Linked DNA regions of Rhinolophus ferrumequinum. The protein of the gene in region 1 purifies or fractionates together with the protein of each later gene. This does not show direct contact. Links are inferred from orthologs where the notes say so. Each region holds a gene or a part of one and is shown on either strand. Other genes may lie near its edges.

What was found.
Region 2: the proteins of EPB41L3 (region 1) and CLNS1A purify together in Homo sapiens (affinity purification with mass spectrometry; 3 studies listed by BioGRID and IntAct, with this or other methods). This does not show direct contact. The link is inferred for Rhinolophus ferrumequinum from reciprocal best matches to the Homo sapiens genes EPB41L3 and CLNS1A.

What each region holds. Positions count from the first base shown.
Region 1 is NC_046302.1:12,120,219-12,123,967, forward strand, and holds the start of EPB41L3 (band 4.1-like protein 3), read left to right. Parts: upstream 1-1,418; 5' UTR 1,419-1,736; intron 1,737-3,749. UniProt on the Homo sapiens protein: Tumor suppressor that inhibits cell proliferation and promotes apoptosis. Modulates the activity of protein arginine N-methyltransferases, including PRMT3 and PRMT5.
Region 2 is NC_046294.1:51,909,999-51,913,747, reverse strand, and holds the start of CLNS1A (methylosome subunit pICln), read left to right. Parts: upstream 1-1,419; 5' UTR 1,420-1,502; coding exon 1,503-1,627; intron 1,628-3,749. UniProt on the Homo sapiens protein: Involved in both the assembly of spliceosomal snRNPs and the methylation of Sm proteins.

The sequences.
Region 1 (3,749 bases):
AAACAGTCATTCATACACTGTTGCTGATTTTCTACATCATGAGAAAGATTAAGATTCATGAAGCCGGGAGAACAGTTAGTTTTCAATTAAAAAAAAAAAAAAGCCAAAACATGGCAATAAAATGAATGAAAACATGAAACCATCTGTGTCTCCAATGATAATACCAACTTAGTGTTTGTTGTAAACAATACAATTTGTTCAAGTCCACTTTTAAAGGGGTGCACTTTAGTGTGAACACAAAAAAGGAAAATATGTAAATCCATTCTTCATGCACAGATCTTATACGCAACACATACAACCATGTAAGTACAAATGTACTATGTGTATATATAGCTCTAACACTCATGTGGCCCTAACAGAAAATTAATACAGGTGATCCCCAAATATATCATCCAGTATTTGAACTACCACCTTTATCTGTCACTTCAAAGACAGTTCAGGCCCTGGTACTTGGAACAATGCCATAGTCACTTCCTATTAGCTCCTGGTATTTGACTGTCCATTCTCGTTTTTGCTGTGTCAACAGATTATTTTTCCTATAACATGAAGTAAATCACATATTCTTGCTTAGAATTTCCCAAAGCTGCACGTCTTCCACAGAGTATGGGTCCATAAACTCCATAGCAACTGAGTTACCATTATTTTCCAACCTTCTCTCCAGTGAAACATGAAAAACGCCCCCTCCCTTTTCTATTGCTGTTTCCCTGTCCTTGAAACCCAGGCCAAGTGTCAGGGACACACCAGGCTCACTAATCTCTGCCACTGGCATTTACTCTGCATCACATGTTTGCCCCCCAACAGTAAATACAATATTTTTGTGAGTCCATTTTCCCTCCCTCAATGAGTTGGTGAGCTCCTAGAGGGGTAACTAGGAGTATATGGAGAGGACCTTAAACATTTCAATAAATATGTCTTGGTTACTCAGTTAGAACTTAGATGTTGTGAGAAGACCAGGAATAATTTCTGTCACCTACACATCAGAGTGTGAGCCCCTTCCTCTCCATTTCAGTGTAAAGCTTTATCAATAATGACTTCCTGTTATTCTGGGAAGCTTAGAAGACCACCTGTAACTGTGAACATTCATGGTGGGGGCAGGGGGAGATAGTGAGGAATAGAAGGCTGTGGAAAGAAAACCGCTTCCCTCACCTTTAATTCAGATTTTCTCTATTAACTTAATATTTCTTGAGTGCCCACCCTGTGCAAGATGCCACCAATTTGAATTTTTTTCTTTCAAAAAGAAAAAAAAAATTACTGTAGCCCCTAAGCTAATAAATAACTCACCTGAAGGTCAGGCACACCTTCCCCCCACTCTCAAAAGGGGTGTCTGGGAAGGGAGAGGAGGGGATTAGAGGGCCCAGGCAATAATCTAAGTGGACATCCAAAGGCTAACGCCATTGGCAGCTGTCGCGAGGTGTTGTCCCCAGCCTGACCCTACGCCTGGATGGAGAAGACTGTTACCACGTAACAGTCCTCAAGTACTGCGGTGGCCCATTCCCCCGCAGCCGGGAAGCGGAGTCAGGACGAGCTTGGCTTTCTCTGCGCGGTCTCTGGGCGTGTGCCCCCGCCGCAGCTCCGCCGAGCCTCCGAATCCCCTGCAAAGGGGGGCGGGGAGCCGCGGCAAACAGCCCGCGTCTGCGGCTTCCTCCCCACGCCCGCGCCTCTTGCGCACAGCCGGGAAGACGCGCGCCGAGCCCATCCACACGCCGTCGCGCGCCCGGGCTCCTTGCCCAGCCGAGGTAACTTTTCTGTCTGCTGGAACGCGGGGATCCCAGGGGGTCTCCCTTTTGCGGGGTGCGGAGAACAAGCCGGAGGCCAGGGGCGAGGCGCGCGGGGCTGCGCCGCTGACGCGTGGCTCCCGCGCTGCACGGCGGCCGGAATCGCCCGAGCCCAGATTCGGCCAGGCCCAACTCGGACCCCGCCTGCTCGCCTGCTGGGATCCCTGCTGGGCCGAGCCGGTGCGCCGCACCCCGTGCCCCGGGACGTGCCCTCCGCCCGCCTCCCCGCTGCAGCATCGGCTGGGCAGGCGCCCGGAGCCTGAACATCGGCCTGTGGGGAGGTGTGGGGGGTCTCCTGCGGAGCCCTCGCCGAAAAGGGCGACTCGGTCCCCGCGCCTTTTCTCGCTCAATTTGCCTAAATCCCCCGTTCGGGGCGCCATGTTTTAAGTTACCCCTTGGGAGGGCGGGGGCGAGGGCCGGGCAGGCTGCGCAGGGAGGGCGACACTGCGGCGCCGCCCGGGGCGGGTGGCCGGCCCGCGCGGGAGGGGCCCTGTGCGGCGTGGCTGCGGGCTTGTCCCGGGAGCGGGATTTGGGGGTAGGTGCGCTCAGCACAAAGCATCTCCGCTCGGGAGCGGGCCGGCAGCTTTTATGTAACTTGTCTCCTTTCCGAACTGGGGCAGTGTCCCTCAGACGCCGGCGGGGGCTGCACCTCGGCCGCCGGGGGAGGTGGCGGCGTCCAAAAGAGGTTGCTCTTGGCCAGGGCACCTGCAGGGCCCCGTCGCCCCTGCCTTCCCTCCCCTTGCACCCCCGCGCTGGGAGGCCGAGGCTGGCCTGCCGTGGCCGAGGGGCGGGGAGCGGCGCGGCTCACCTGGCGCCCGCGGGGCTGCGGGGTGCCTGGGGAGGTGTCTGCGAGAGCAGCTCTGCGGCAGGTGGGGGTGGGGAGGCCGGGGCGTCGGACCGCTGGAGTCCTGGTCTCAGCCAATTCCTTGCGGGGGTTTCCCGGCTCCTGCAGCGGGGGCTTGCTTTCTCGGATTTCCCCTCTAATCTCGCCTTACTTCCCCTCCCCCTTTCTCCTCTCCCTTCCACCCCCAGCCAAGTTCAAGGCTTCTGCAATGCGGTGGGTGTGGTTACCTAGTAAATTGTAACTGTGGTCGGTTGCAGTGGGAGAGTTCTTTCCTTTTCGGTTTTTATATTTACGGACCCAAAGTTTTCTAGGGTTTTCTCCTCCAGTTGCAGCTCCGGGTCAAAGTTGGGAAGAGATTGTGGCAGAACACATAGAATGATAAAGAAAACATGTGCTATTAATTACTCCTGGAGTCTGGGCTGAGAAATCCTGAGGGGACCAGGCAGTCTTGCTAATGCAGTTCTTCCATTACGTGTTTAAGTTGGTGTTTCAGCTTTTTTACATTGGTCTTGCGGAATTGCTTCTGCAGATGTCCTTCCTGTCTTTTTTGGGGGTCCATTTTTAGGCTCTCTGAGGCAACCAGGTGTGTTGGAGCTTCCCTTGCTAGCATTACCATCCCTAGTAGAAGAATCATTACACTAAGTGCTAAAAACATTCTTTTTGAATTTTTCACGGATTTTTAAAGTCTCAAGGAAACTTCACTTATTTCTGGGAGCCCTGGATGTAGTATCAATTACAGCAAATTAAGCAGAAAAGTCCTCTTAAGAAAAGGGAGCACGTCAAGCTTGAGTGAACTCTGGGGAATTTGAGGTGATTTATATCTTGGCTCAGACAAGGTTTAAAAAAAAAAAAGCATGTTAATTTTGGTGTCAAACTTTTAAAACTTTAGTTGGAGTAACAGAGTTATTGTGAGAGGAAATAAATTCTAAATCGGGAAGCACGTCTTTAATTTGTCAATTTCAGAAGGCATTGATAAAATAGTGGAATACTAAATGCTGCCTCATTTGCATTATGATTTTCTGACGGTTTAGAAAAGCGAAATATCAGGTGCACAAGTTACTGCATAAAGTTCATCTAGCTAATATACTTTAGGCAAATAATTTTTGTAAAACACATGCTTTGTGAATGAT
Region 2 (3,749 bases), on another chromosome or scaffold:
AGCAGGGTGAGAGCAATCTGTCGTAGTGACCAGTTGTCCTCTTCAGCTGTACAGATTCTAGCCAAAGTTCTCCTCGTATTATTTGGGGGATTCTGTTTCCGAGCAAAGCATTAGCTCTTTTACTAAATAGCCAACCCCATATAGATGTCCCACAGGAAACCTCAAATTAGCCATTTCCCATACTGGATTTGTTACCTGCTTTGAAAGCCTACTCTTTCCCCTGAATTTTCCATCTTGGAGAAACGAGTCTGCATCCACTCAATCACTTAGGCTGGGAATTTAGGAATAATTCTTGACTTCTCTCTGTTCTTCATCCATCCTGATCTTTTCTTTCACCCAATCTATCTCCCGATTCAGAAGATTTTACCTTTGGAATAGCTCTAGAATTGGTCCCTGTTTCCAGCCTTACTGCTACTCTCTCACCTATACTATAGCAACAACTTCCTCCTCCTCTCGCTACCCACAAACCAATGCCAATTAAAATATCTAACACGTCTCTAACTACCCAGAGGATAGAACGAAAACGGCTCCACACGTCCCGTCCTCCCGTCACAACAGTCCTACGGCGTAGGTATGGCCGTACTGATTGCCCAGGCAAGAAAAGTGACGCCTAGCGCGATTCCCCTAGGTCTCTCGAGGCTAAAAGCTCTTGCTCTTGAGTTTAACGCCTCAGGCCTGTCATTTGTAAAACTGGATCCATAATAGCCACTTTCTCAAACGGTTGTCATAAAGAGGAAATGACTAATATGCGTGAAGTGCTTAGAAGAGGGCCGTGAACATGACACTCGGTTACCTTAGTGATTATGATCACTTAAAGTGTTTATTGCTGTTATTACTTTGCTGTTAAGTGCCTAAAAAAGTACTAGAGCACACGCTCCAAAGCTGATGGATGAACTCTCCCTTCAACGCCCCATCTCCTTACAGATGTAGCCAGCTCTTCACCAGAGTGAATTACCTCTGGGTTCCTTTGCCCGCGGATACGTGGCTCGTGCACTAGGGCGGTGTCAGGATCTAGACTGATGTCTGGGGCGTGGCTGTTAGTTGTGATGTGAACAGGCCGGGATGAGGCGGGCGCAAGTGATACTGTAAGAGCTGTAAACTCAAGAGTCCTCTGACCTCTGTTTAGATCAGTGAGGTCTCAGGCCTCTGTTTCCCTTTTTGTAAAAAATGGAATTTATTACTCCTTGTGCTTCCTCGCTCACAGGACGTGCAGTGACGACCCTAAAGTAGGATGTGGGGGAGAACGCTCCCTTACCGAAGCGGGGAGCCTCAGGAATGGCGAGGGAAAGTGGGGAAGAGAGTCACGTGACAGCCAGACCTCCCAGGCATCCGAAAGCTAGCCCTAGAACGTCTCGTCTCTATGGTGGATGGCCTTCAAATTCCGGGGCAGACTAAGTTGCTCTTCCGGGGTCATTGCCACCGCTTCCGGGCTGGGACGCGGCGAGTTGGGGTTGCTGTGCTTCAGCTCCCTCCTGGCCTGTGTCTGCGTGCTCACTGCTGCAATGAGCTTCCTCAAAAGTTTCCCGCCACCGGGGTCAGCTGAGGGGCTCCGGCAGCAGCAGCCAGACACCGAGGCTGTACTGAACGGGAAGGGCCTCGGCACCGGCACCCTTTACATCGCTGAGAGGTAGGGTCCCTGTTCCCGAGTGCTGCTCCTGCGCGCCGCCTGCTGCGACCTCGGGTAGCGGGGAGCTGGAGCGCGTGCTCTCAGTCGCTTCGGCGATACCTGTGCTGGGAGGTAGGCTCGATTGTTCTCGTGCCCTGTCCTCCTGAGCCGTCCTTACTCTCTTCTTCAGACGATGTTCTCTTATTGATTATGCTTTGTACTCACCTGTTTACAGGAGGTCTGGTGCGTGCATTGTTCTTGACTCCAAGTCTCGTCCTAAGGTGTTGAGTTTCTAGACCCTGAGTTAGAGTCATCGAGGTGGCCGCTTGTCTTTTCCGGTTAATAGGCGCGGGAGATGTTGCCCTGGGTAGGATATGTAGGTTTAGAGCAGATTGTGGAGGGTTGTGCAAGTTTGGTTAAGGATTATAGATTGTCTTCTGGAGGTGCGGGTGGCGAGAAGAGCACCCGCAACCCCTCTCAGTTCCCATTTCTGCCGTCCGTTTCCATTTCTAGAAGGAATTGTCTTTTTATTTGGCTATTTGGAGCACTTTGCACTTGCACAGTCGGATACACATGTCTGAAATATTATGGTTGTAGTACTGAGGTTTCATTCATCACCAAGCCAACAGTGACACGTTGAATCCTCATTGTCCTTCAAATCACTCTGACTTTTCTTTCTGCTGCATCACTTTGGGCTGCAGACAGAAAATTCTCAGCATGTAAGAGCTCATGTGATTACATTGGACCCACACAGATAATCCAGGATAATCTCACTGTTTGTCAACTGATGAATAACCTTATAATTATGACATCCATAAAGTTTCTTCTGCCACGTAATATACAGTATTCACAGTCTTGACACCACAGGATGAAGGTTATAGGGGCCAAAATTCTGCCTGCCACAGAGGACACACACACACACACACACACACCACCCCACAAAAAAACCCTTCATTTAGAGAGAAATCTAGATACTGAGCAAAGTTTAGGCTTTTGGCTAGTCACATAGATAGGAGATAATGGATGGGAAGAAAAGCATGTTTGGGGGGAGGTGCAGACAATGAGTTTGGTCTGGACATGTGGGGATTAGTTGGAGATGTGTGTGTGTGAGAGGGGGGTATTACAGATAGAGATTTGGAAATCATTAATACCAGTGTTAGCATCTACTCACGGGAATCGATTAGATACCCCAGAAGAGATGAGGGCAAAGCATAGAACCTTGGGGACACATCTACATTAAGAGGTGGATCATGGAAGAAGAGACTTGAGAAAAGGGAGGAACAGTCAAGTAAAATTTGAAAAGCATCTGTTGGGTATCGACGAGGAGATCTTTGTTGATCTTGAGAGAGCAATTTAAGTGGTGGGAAGTGGAGTACGGAGATTCCTAGCCCCTACGCAATTCCTTTTTGTCTCCGTGGCGTCTCTGTCTATTGGCTCTTTTTTCTATACCATAACCCCTTTGAGGGGAGGTCCTATACTTGTTTTTTCATTTTGAAAATTTTCAAACCTAAAGAAAAGTTGCATGTGTTGTTCATTAATACCCAGAGACCCTTCACAAAGATTGATCAGTTGTTTGTTAACATTTTGCCATGTTTCTGTCTCTTCTGAGCTATTTGAGAGTTGCAAATATGTTACTTTACCTGTAAATATTTTAGCATATATCTCCTAAGAACAAGGGCATTCTCCTGTATAACCATAATACAGTTATCACACTCAGGAAGTACAAACTCCTAAATTCTAATCTGTGGAAAATGTTTTTATTTCAACCTTTTACTAACAGATCTCTTACCTTGCTTTAAGAAGATATTTTTGTTAAGTATACATACAAAAAAGAGTGTACATTATAGATCTGTGGTTTAAAGAATTATAATTAAACCAACACCTGTATGTGCACCATTCAGGTTAAGAACAGGATATTTAAAAAAAAAAAAAAAAAAGAACGGGATATTACCAACACCTCGGGCACTTGGGTTCCTCCCTCTTCACTCATTGCCTCACCTCCTTGGTCTCTTGGTCTCTTTCCCTTTTTGTTCTTTCCTACCTAGCATTTCCAAGTCTTGATAGAATCAAGCTCTCAAACTGGGAAGGCTTCCTAGAGGAGGTGACAAATGAAGATTGACAGCCAGGTGAATGCGGTGGGGCA